Notamacropus eugenii: one gene and its partners. The main gene of each other region encodes a partner of the protein of the gene in region 2 in a complex. Links are inferred from orthologs where the notes say so. Each region holds a gene or a part of one and is shown on either strand. Other genes may lie near its edges. The genes, in order: TIMM17A, TIMM21 and SMIM20.

Region 1 (3,749 bases), on a different chromosome or scaffold from region 2:
TCCAAGTAGTGGTTGTTTGTCCTTCGTTTTTGAAGAAGACCATGACATCAGAGAAGTGATGACATGACTTGCCCTTGACTTTGAGTGAGGGAGGGCTGTGCAGGTCACCAGCCTCACTTCTCCTCCAGAGCCATCAGGATCCAGTTACCAGATATTCATCAGGATGACTGGAGATGGCCCAGGATGCAGTGGGGGACCTTGGTCTTTTCAGGTACTCACTTAGAGGAAGGGGCAGGATGAATGGTGGCATCCCTTATAAAGATCTCGGGGAGAAGAAACTCCCTTTATCAGGGCAGGTCTCTGCAAACTTAGAGCCACCCCCAGATCACACTGTCATAAGTACTTGGAGGTCTGGCAAAGCGGGTTATACCTAAGACCTCTTTGCAGTTGTCTCCCTCATGAGGCAGGGATCTTCCGGAGGATAGGGGTTATCTCCTGCCCCTCTTCGTATCCCCATCGCTTAGTACAGTGCCTGGTGCAAAGTAGGCACTTCACGTTTGTCGACTGACAGCAAACTAATGGATCCCAACAGCCACTATTATCGTCCCACTTCGGGTGAGCAGGCAGAGGTTACGTGACCTGCCAAGGGTCGCCCAGCCCTTCAGCGTCTGCAGCGTCTCGACTCTCCCTGCCTCCAGATTCGGTGCTCTAGGCAGAGCAGGTGTCCAGACTAGGACTCGAACCCAAGTCCTCTTGGTTTACAGGCCAAATGACCTCCAAGGTCCCTCCTGGGCTTTAATCGTATGACCCCATGAAACATTAATTCGTAAGCGTAATTCAGTATTTCAAAGCAAAATCTCTTTAGGGTTTAGGAAGCTTTCCAAGCGAAAATGAAACCAGCCGAAAGAGCCGAGGCAGAGCGAGGATTCGAACCCTTGACGCCAGCCTCGCCGGGGATGGACCAGCTCCTTTAGCAAATCCTCGAGAAGCCGCGCCCCCCACACCTCCCCGGTCTGCCTCTCCCATTGGCTATACGCATAAAGAGGCGAACCAATCCTCGTCCCATTAGCCGCCCGGCCCTCCCCCAGGACCCTCCCAGAGACCGGGGACACTTTGGGGAGAGCTCGGGAGCTCCGCCCTGTTTGCCCGGCATCCCCTTCGCCACCGTAGCCAAGATGGAGGAGTACGCTCGTGAGCCCTGGTGAGCCTCCCCGACCGCCGGTCTGCTCCTTCCGGCCCCGATTCCCTGCCTCTCGCCCCGGCCTCGCGAGGCGGCCTGCTCCGGGCGCTCGCGCCCCTGCCCACCAGGCCGGCTTCTGGCCCGGCAGGCCTCCCCGGCTTCCCTGGCCCGGCCTGGTCGTGACCTTGCGTTCGGCCCGGCGCCCCCTCCTCGGCCCCATCGCCGCCCCCGCCGCCTTGGGCTGCGCCCTGGCGGGATTCCGCGGGGTCATCGGGAGAAGGGGCCGAAGTCCGAGGCCCACAGCCAGGCCCCCTATCTCTGGCAGCGGGAGGGAAAGTACCTTGGCCTACCTTGCCCCAATTCCTGCGGCCCCATCCCCCACCTCGTCCCCAGGAGCGTGGGGGTGGGTGGGAAGGGTCCGCGAGGCCGCCTCGTATGGCCTTAGAGCGAAGTGTGTCTGAAATAACCTGGCCTTCTCGGGTAACTTGTGTGCTTAAAGACTCCTCCACCCAGGCTTCTAGATGAAGGGCTGCAGGTACCTCCCCACCCCGACCCACCATCCCCCTTGGGATGTTCAGTCCAACTCAATAAACGTTTATTAAGCGCCTTCTGTGTGCAGGCACTGTGCTAAACCTGGGGATACACAAAGAGGCGAAAGACGTCGCTACCTCCAAGGAGCTTACCATCTAATGTTCCATTTTTCAACAGCCCTTGTACATTAAGAAGAAAGTTGGGTAGGAGGGGTGATCCCAAGAGTCTGAGAAGAGGAAGCAACAATGTTCTCCGATTTGTAACAATGTTCATACAAAGAATCAGTCTTGTCATTTAAGTTAACTTAGCCTTTTGTCCTTGATAACTTATATTGTTAGGAGCTCAGAGCTCTAAATTCCCCTTGAAATACAGTGGTTATTTATAAGGTTATTAACCTTAGAGCCAGGTTCATGCAGTTTCTGAATGAAATCGCTTCAGGTGTAAGTTTTATAAGGCCTATCTTCTTGGGAAACATTTGCCTTCAGAAAGAGTACCTTTTGAGGGCCATCTGTGAGCAGGAAGTTGACATGGCTATCTCTACCACTCTTCCAACTCCCCTATTAACTTACTCTATTGGTTAATCTCCCTAGTTGAATTTTCATCTTTACCAAAATCTTCTTTCCTACAAACATGGTCAGAGACAGCTGGTAACATAGTGAATATAGAGGACTTGACCTAGAATCAGGAAGATCAGAGTTCAATTTTTACAAGACACTTATTAAATGGAAATACCTTACAGGGTTGTTGTGAAGATCAGATGAGATAATATAAAAAGTGCTTGGGACATCATAAATGCTTATTCCTTTTTCACTTTCCTCTGTTCTGGTAGGGAAAAAGCCTACCAACCTTCTGGTTTTTCAAGCTCCACTTTGCATATATTAGCTGCTTCCACTTTTTATTTCTTAATCCTTTTCAAACTGTCTTTCAATTTGACATTAACTCTGCTGTATACAAAGAATTGTACTGGGTGCTGGGGAGGTATAAAGAAGAAAAAGAGTCCTAGTCTCCAGAGATCTTTTCTGAATTCATGGAAGAAATATATGCAGATAAGTATGATATCTGGTAAGAATGAGATAATAGTAAAGGGAAGGTGTAGATAAACTTCGGTGAGTGGATCCAGAAACACTTCATGGGGGAGATGCTAACTGAACTGAATATTGAAGGTATAAAAAAAATTCCTTTGGGTTGAGATTGGGATGGGGTAGTCTTTTGCAGGCATGAACAGAAACAAAAGATTTAAAATTATCTAGGTGTGGGTAACTTGTAGATTGGTTAGAGAGTAGTTAGAATGTGGAATGCATGAATTTGATTAAAGCCAAAGTAAGACTGAAAAAGTAGGTTGTAACCGGATTGCAAAGGGTCATAAATACTGGAAGGAGCTTGTATTTCACATAAATAACAGGAAGCAACTGAAGATTTTTGAGAAGGGAAATGGCATGGTCAGTCTAAGTAGTGTATTATGAAGATTATTTTGGTCACTAAGTGAAAAGAATGAATTGAAGAGGAGAGGAGAAAGTCAGGGAAAACTTATAGGAAGCTATTTGAATAGGCCAGAAGGAAAGATCTAAACCAAAGTGGTAATAGTATCAGGGATGAAAAAGGTAGGTATGAAAGATAAACAAACTCCATTATTGTACTAAAACTTCACATCTCACAGGTCAGTATGGACCCCATAATCACCATTTCCGTTGGTCTCTTTTCAGTCTTTCTCCTCGTGATATCCCTTTGCCTTCTGTGTGTGGTAGTGAGAGAAAGCATTAACTGGGGAAATTAGGGGTGGCTTTTTATAGGGGGTGGCACTTGAACTTCTGAACTTTGAAAAGAGGTAAGGAGTTCTAAGAAGCAGAGATGAATAAGGAGAGCAAAATCATAGCTGGAGATGGAAAGGAGTTTCCTGTATGAGCAATCACACGTAGGCCAGTTTGACTGGAATATAGAATGCATAATGCGTTATCAGCCTGGAAAGATAGGCTGGAGTTGGATTGTGAAAGGCTTCATATGCCAAGTGGAAAATTTAGTTTTATCCTAGAGGTAGTGGAGTGTCTTGAGCAGGGAAGTGACTTGTGCTTTAAGAATACCACTTTGACATCTGTGAGCA
Region 2 (3,749 bases):
GCAAGTCACTTCAGCTTGTTTGTCTCAGCTCCTCATTTGTAAAACGGGCCAGAGAAGGAAATGGCAAACCGTTACAGCATCTTTGCCAAGAAAACCCCAAAAGGAGTCATGAAGAGTCAGACATGACTGAAAGCAAATGAACAACTACTAGGGAGTCAAAAACATGGGGTTGGTGTTTTAAATGGTGTTTTCCCAACTAGGATTTAAAGAACTATAGTTTTAAAGACTACAGTTTAAAGGCCAGGGACTTTTAACGTATTTATCTATGTCTAGTGATGCCTACAGACCCTTCTCAGAAGAATGTTTTTACATAATGGAAGGGAAATGCTAAATTTCAATTAGAAGTGGGTGAAAATAAAAGATAGTTGTCATGGTTGAAACCTGCAAGCCCACAGCTTCAAGTGGGCCCAAATATCTGGGGTTACATGTGTAGAAACCAGCACTAAAGAAAATTCTTCTAGTTGATGGTTTTCAAAAAATAGTTAGTCTCCAAAGTGCTTTATTTAAAACTGATAAGACACCACGTTGTCAGGCAAATGGCCAAATCTCCATACATTTTCTACGTACAAATAAAATTCTTCTTTCATCAGTTCTCATAACTGCTACTGTGTTCTGCCCAGAGTTTTGTGAACTGTAAACCACTGTGCACTACTATAAGAATACAACACTGCATGAATTATGCAAAGGGGGCCAGAAAAAAATGACTTTGGTAATTTGTTTAAGACTGAAATAACGTCTTGGCTTCAAAAACTTAGTTTGTCTAGTAATGCCACCCCCACTGGGTAGGTCAGGGACACATTTCAGTAAGTAAGAATGGAAATTGGAAAGGGAATTTGGGCAGGTCAACTGATTTGTAAACTGAACAGATGTGGGGAATGCCCTATACTTTCCATGTATCTTTCTCAACACAGATAAAAATATTGATTATACTTCTTACAAACAGGATCATTTATGAAAACTGAAGAAAGTTTCACGAATGGATTAAATACATTTCTTGAATTTGTCTAGGCTACTTCTAGAAGCAAAAGTATAGCATAATATAATTTAACTTTGAGGAACATTTGATATTGAAAACTAATATATACTGACGTATCCATAAACAAATTTGTGAATGATTAGTTCCTTCTTAAAAAAATAATTAGGACCATATACTTCTCTCTCATAGTCTGGAACACAGGTTCTTAAAAGAGATGAGATAGTTCGAATACCAATTTTGTTAAAGGTAACTCATACATCTAAATCAGGATTTAGATGTATTGTTCACCACACACCTAAGGTTGTCACTCAACCTCCCAACAAAGTTTCAGAAGTGGAGAAAGGTTCAGTGAGCTCTGTCCATGTTCAATATTTGGATTTTCAACAAAAGAAAATAATGTAAAGGAACAAATATACATGCACCATCTGTGACCTTACTCCCCAAAGTAAATCATTTGTTCTCTTTTGGGTCAACTAAGACTCTAATGGATGCTAATTCTCCTGGTTTAGATAATGCCCTTTTCCTTAATCTTTCAATGAATAATACTTCACAATACAGATGTAGAGCTGGGGCAGAGTCCAGAGTCAAACCGAGGCCCTCCAACTCCAAACCCATAGCTCCTGCACTATATTAGGAGTGTCTCTCCAACATAGGGCAACCCACTCACGTTATTTACTACTTGCAAAGCCGCGTGTTAGGTCATAGCCATATTGTACTTACTCTCTGAGACCCAGTTCAAGTCCAACTTTCTCTGTAAAACCTCACTTAGACCCTACTCTCTCCCTTTTATCTGTGGCATAATTAATGCCTTATTATAATCTTATTTTCAGGGCCATGACTGCTCTTTATTTTCTCACCCTGTATATTTTATGATGTGAATCCTGCTTCCCAAATAGGGAGCACTTTAGAGGCAGGGAAGAGCTGCTTTTGTACAACCACAGAACATAGTCCACTATTGGGCTCCCTGAAGGGGCTACTAAATACTTCTTGAGTAAGACTAAAACAATCACACTGAAATTAAACGGGAATATATTTTTCTTTCTTTTTTTGAGTTGAGTTCTAGTAAGTTTTTTCCCAATAAATACTAAAACTCTCTAAGTGATAGCTCCCTTCCTCCTGATTATTTTTTTCCAGGTGTAATCGAGCAGATTCTGATCCTATATAATTAGAAATGAAAAAGAACTTTGCAACTTTGTGGTCTGGTCTGTGGAGAGATTTCCGGGGTGCCAGCACTTGGAGGGGAGGGCTTTGCTTCGATACAATGGTTTCCTTTGTAATTCTATGTACCTATCATTCTGAGAATGGGTCCAAAGGCTGCCAAAGGGTTCCTAACTCACAAGAGTTTAAAACTCCCTCTTTAGAGAGGAGAGCGGGCCTTGGAGAGCGGGAGGGACCTGACCAAGGTAACCCAAGGACGAGGCCGTAACTCAGTAGGATTCGATCCTATTCCACGCGCGCAGGGCCCGAACTTGCTGGCGGAGAGTCCAGGCTGCCGTCAGGGACTCCTGCGGCCTTCACACCCCAGCTCCGGGCCAGGTCCTCCCTTCTTTCCTTACTCACACGTCATTTCTGATTTACGAGCACAAGCCGCGCGCTGACCATTACCTCTCTGGGCAGCGGACAGGGCGGGCTCTTCCCTCCGACTTTTCGGCACAGACACCTGTTTGCCGCCGTCCTCTTCCGCTCTCGGGGGCTTGCTGCCCTGCGTCCAGACGCCTCTCGGAGGGGCCCTCAGGACGCGTCCGGGCTGCAGCACAGCCTCCCTCTGCTGCAGGAGCCCCCACCCCAAACATGGCCACGTCCTAAGACGGGCTCTGTGAGAGGGGGCCAGCTGCAGCGGCAGCAGCCGCTTCCCGGGGGGGCGGCGCAGCTTCTCCGCGCCCTGGGCAGCTCGAAGGAAAGCCGCCAACATCCCGCTCGGACAAGGGGCTTCCGCGGCCGGACCCTGCCGCCGGCCACCCTTGGCACGGGCGCGCACACAGCCCGCCGCGGTCTGCGGTGACCCCCGGAGCCGCAAGCAGGAACGCGGGGTGCATATAGAGACGGGAGCCGCAGCGACTTCTAATTCAAGTGAAGATATCCCTGGAAAAATGAAACTTCTACCTGCTTTCCTTGACGGCCCTCCTTTTACTCAAAAAGAAACGACAACTTTTACCCGCGGCACGCTGACATTCATATAGCCCCCCGCCATTGTATTTCCAAAGTTTCCTGGAAAATATCGAGGATCCCTGGGATGAGTAGTTTGCAGACGTTCGGATGGATAGACTTGCCCGCCGAAGGAAAGAAAAAGTGGACTACAAATTCCACAATGCAATGCGTGCGGAGCTCCAAGGAACTCCCTCGCCACCTCTCAGGCTCTTATTGCAAGGTAGCACGGGATGCACGTAGTTATTAGAACGGGCTATGCTTTAAAAATTGTTGGCAAGCTTCACATTTTCTTTTCCTTTTATCTGCAGTTTAATTATGCAGACCTCTTGCAAAATTAAGAGTTATGTGGATATTTAATAACCATAAAGGGCAAATCTCCCAGTACCCTCAATCCAAAAGTTTGTGTCAATTGAATTGGCTTCATTTTAATTCCTGCGGATTCACTGATTTTTTTTTCTGTAATTATGGGAAAAGTACTTAGGTCTTTGGGTTCTCGTACTTCTTTCGTAAAATAAAGATAATAAGCTTCACAAATCAATCGCAGATTCATCAGCGGTAAAGCTTTCTGTTAATACTTGGTATCGACGTTAGTATGAGTTGTTACCCTTCACGAGCGCTTCATTAA
Region 3 (3,749 bases), on a different chromosome or scaffold from region 2:
TCCATCGTCCTGTTAAAATCTCTCCTTCCTTGAAAGCACAGCTCCCCAATAAAGCTATCCCCAATCCCCACAAGTTAAAGTGATCTCTCTCCTATGACTGTTCATAGCATGCCTAAGCTCTACTTTGCATTTACAACCTTCTGGCATGCCAAACTTATCGATATACCTCTATTAGACTGTAAGGTCTTCAGCACAGTGTGTCTGCGTCTAGCAAAATGCAGGTGCTTAGTTAACTACGTGTTTAATGAATTAATGCTTACACAGTACTACAGAAAGACAAAAGTGTGTCTAACCACTTTATTTCCAGAAGTCAAATTGTGACATTATTCATTTAGGATCTCCAAGCACCTCTGGTTAACTACGGCCAACCTCCAGCTTGACAATAATTCAATTTTCCTAAAGACAAAAGGGATAGATGCTTAAAATATTCTCTTTATGCAAATGTCTTCACAACTCTAATAATCACTGAATTAATCAGGATTAAGCTTTTAAAATTATTGGATTTGATTGCAAAAAGAAAAACAAATCAGTACTCTCGGGATACAAAGTGGTGCCAAGACCACCCTTCTCTTTTTAACATTAGGAGACACCCTGTTTTCCAGAGCTCAGGTCCAGCAAACAAGCTGCGCCCTGAGCTTGGCATAACAACAATCCTTTGCGCTCACTCTGCCCAGCACTGTCTCACACCAGCAGCAGGCGGTCTCATCTTGGACACAGTCACGAAATCCTGCTGTGCATCAGTTGTTACAATGTTGCCGTTAGCCTCACTGTCAAGGTCACAGCTCACTGCGTAGTCATTGGTGTAAGGACCGAGATCCGCCCACACCAAAGTGGGTCTCCTGTGGGGTCTCCGGCACCCGTGGAATCTAGTTTTGGTTTTACTTTGTTTCATTTTATTGTTAAAGCTCACTGTGGTTTTGGTAACGTGTGTCAGCTCCGTGGTTCTTGTTGCAGAGCCGCCGTGGCCCTTGGGTCATTCGGTCAGGGCGGACGGCGGCCAAAGGAACGAAAGACTGAAGTCCCACTGATCGTGGTGGATGGAAAGGAGGAAAAGGGGCCAGAAATGGAACACACTCAGGTGACAGGTCGGGTAAAGATGGCCGCTGAACCCACCCCTGGGGAGCCCAGCGTGGGGCCCCGGCTTTCTCTAAAGGCCGACAGAAGGTCTGGGAGGCCAGGGCGACCACGCGGGGGCAGCGCCGTGAAGCCCGTGTCCAGGGAGACAAGACGCGGCCCCAACACGGGGGCTGGACCGAGGGGCAGGATGGGGGCCAGCAGGAAGAGAGGTCACAGAGCGGGACCGGGACGCGGGAGGGGCAGGCGGGAGGACAGCGGCGTCGATGTACCGTGCCAGGATGCAGGGCGGGGGGCGCCGGCGGCGGACAGCATGGAGGCACGGGGGAGGGGGGGGCAGAGAGAGCGACCCCAGAATGCGGGGAAAGGAGAACACAAAGAGGAACCGGCATGGGGGGCGGGGCGACGGGAAGAGAGGGGTCCCTGGGGGTGTGCCCGAGCCCCAAAGGGGAGGTCAGAGGTCGCACTCACTGTACTCCTCGGTCCGCATCAGGGGCCGGAAATAGATGGGGTAGAAGGCGGCGCCCAAGAGCAAGGCGAAGCCGCCGAAAATCATCGTCGTGCGCAGGTTGCGAGACATGACCCGAGCTCGGGAGGTCCGGCACAAGACACTGACCCAGAAACCCCGGGCCGCGCTCGCCGCACACGCGAGGCGCCCACGGAAGTGGGGGCGGGAAGAGACTTTCACTTCCGGAGCGAGGGGCGGGGAGCGCGTCCAGAGGGGGAGGAGTGTCAGGGAGGGGCAAGGAAGAAGGGAGGTGGGAAGATAGTGGGGCAGACCGTGCTCCCCGCTTCCCCTCCTGCCCCCTGGCTCCCATCTCACAGACCTGGGGCACTTGGGGTCCGAGGAAGGGGGTGTGAAGCCTGGGCGGCCTTGGGCGAGTCACGTGACCTCCCATCTGGGGAATGAGGGAGTGGGGGGGCCTCATCAGCTGAGCCGGCGCTCTCCCCGAAGCTAAATCGGCGGGGACCTCCGCGGAGGCGCCCGGGCGGGATTCCAGCCCAAGCCTCTGCCCTGCGGTCGAAACACTCCACGGCCGAAGGCCCTCCAAGCCCCGGCTGTGGAAGAGGAACGATTCGAAGCGGTGGGGACCGGAGACACGTGACCAGGCCCCGCCCCCGCCTTCGCCCCGCCTCGTGCCCAAGTTTGTGCAGGCTCCTAGGCCCCCCTGTCGGGTTACAACCCGTCTAAAGGGATTCCCTTTGTTCGCTCACCCCCTCCGGCCTCGGCCCCTTGCCCACTGATGTTGCCCCTCGCTGGGTTTGTGAGGTCCTTGGAGGCAGGGCCCGGCTTTTGCCTCTTTCTGTGTCCCCGGCACGTAATGGGCGCTTAATAAATGCTTAGAGGTTGGTTGAGTGTGTGTTAGTTGACAATGGGAAACGTGTGTTATGTGTAAAATACATAATGACATAAATATACACACATTGCGGAGATCCTTTAATAGGCACGAGCGCCGTTTTGGAACGCCTTGGCAGACAGTCTCTCCAAGTCCAGCCTAGTGAAGACTTCTCTGATCGTCCTTAGACCAGCCCCAGGGCAGCGTGGGCTCGCTCTGTGCCTGGCTCGGGAGGACTGAGTTTGTAAAGAAGCTTAACCTTCAAGAACCCGGCTTGCCCTCTACACCGCGGTGAGGCTTTTATGGGGAAATGTACGATACCTCCTCATGTACGTATACATACATGTGTGTGTGTGCGTGTGTGGGAGGTACATCCCCATCTACACGTACATGGAATCTCATTCCAGTGTGTTACTGCTGTCCTGAGGTGCCCTCGGTGATGAAAGACTGCCAGCGGTGGCAGAAAAGGCTTTGACACCGTCCGGGAACAGCGGGTGATGCCACTTTCCAAGGATCAGCCCAGCTACATGGAGGGACGCTCATCAGCGGCTGGGAGGCTGGCCATCAGATAACGAATTCTTGGACCAGAGCAACCCATGAAACAGAAGAAAGCAGTGACCCGAGCTCAGCCTTCTGTGGTCTCGTTCTGCCCCTGCTGAGAACTGCCTAAAAAGAAGTAGATGGGGCATTCAGAATCACACAGCCTTTAGACCTTTGCATAGCTCTGAAATGTGACATCTTTGTAGATGAATAGACATATTTTTGGAAGTAAGGGAGTTATATCGGTACTGACAGGTGTTACAGCCACATCTACGGAAGACCCAGAAAAGAAAGTTTTTGTCACCAAAGTCCTTGGCACTGTCAAAGTTCTGATGGTCAACATCAAACACCAGAATGATTTCAATGGTGTAAATGCTGTTTTCTTTTAACAAGAGGCATTCCTGTCTGCTTTGCCACTGTACTGTAAGGATCATTAAACTTTTCCATCTGAATTGCAACTGAAACCTTCCATAAGTATTATCTCCCTCAGAATGTGAGCTCCTTGAGAGCAAAGGCTGTTTTCCTTTTTCCATTTATACCTCTAGCTCTTAGCACAGTGTAAAGCAAATAGTAAGTACTTAATAAATGTTTCATTCATCCATTTTTCCTCCACTAAATAATCAATAGCTGACATCCCAAGAGAATCAAACATTCTGCTGAAGTACTTTGATAACCTCTAAGAATGATATGGCAAGATGGATGCATAGCAATATCTTTCTCAAATCAATAAATCAATCAATACACATATATTAAGCGCATGTTATGTTTTAGATACTTTTAGGCTTCGTAAGTGAATGG

What was found.
Region 1: TIMM21 (region 2) and TIMM17A share a complex: the UniProt entries of both Homo sapiens proteins name them as parts of the TIM23 complex. The link is inferred for Notamacropus eugenii from reciprocal best matches to the Homo sapiens genes TIMM21 and TIMM17A.
Region 3: TIMM21 (region 2) and SMIM20 share a complex: the UniProt entries of both Homo sapiens proteins name them as parts of the MITRAC (mitochondrial translation regulation assembly intermediate of cytochrome c oxidase complex) complex. The link is inferred for Notamacropus eugenii from reciprocal best matches to the Homo sapiens genes TIMM21 and SMIM20.

Annotation. Positions count from the first base shown.
Region 1 is NC_092873.1:438,441,303-438,445,051, reverse strand, and holds the start of TIMM17A (mitochondrial import inner membrane translocase subunit Tim17-A), read left to right. Parts: upstream 1-1,026; 5' UTR 1,027-1,115; coding exon 1,116-1,141; intron 1,142-3,749. UniProt on the Homo sapiens protein: Essential component of the TIM23 complex, a complex that mediates the translocation of transit peptide-containing proteins across the mitochondrial inner membrane.
Region 2 is NC_092875.1:209,648,217-209,651,965, forward strand, and holds the start of TIMM21 (mitochondrial import inner membrane translocase subunit Tim21), read right to left. Parts: upstream 2,889-3,749; coding exon 2,582-2,888; intron 1-2,581. UniProt on the Homo sapiens protein: Participates in the translocation of transit peptide-containing proteins across the mitochondrial inner membrane.
Region 3 is NC_092877.1:78,809,086-78,812,834, reverse strand, and holds the start of SMIM20 (small integral membrane protein 20), read right to left. Parts: upstream 2,143-3,749; 5' UTR 1,655-2,142; coding exon 1,546-1,654; intron 1-1,545.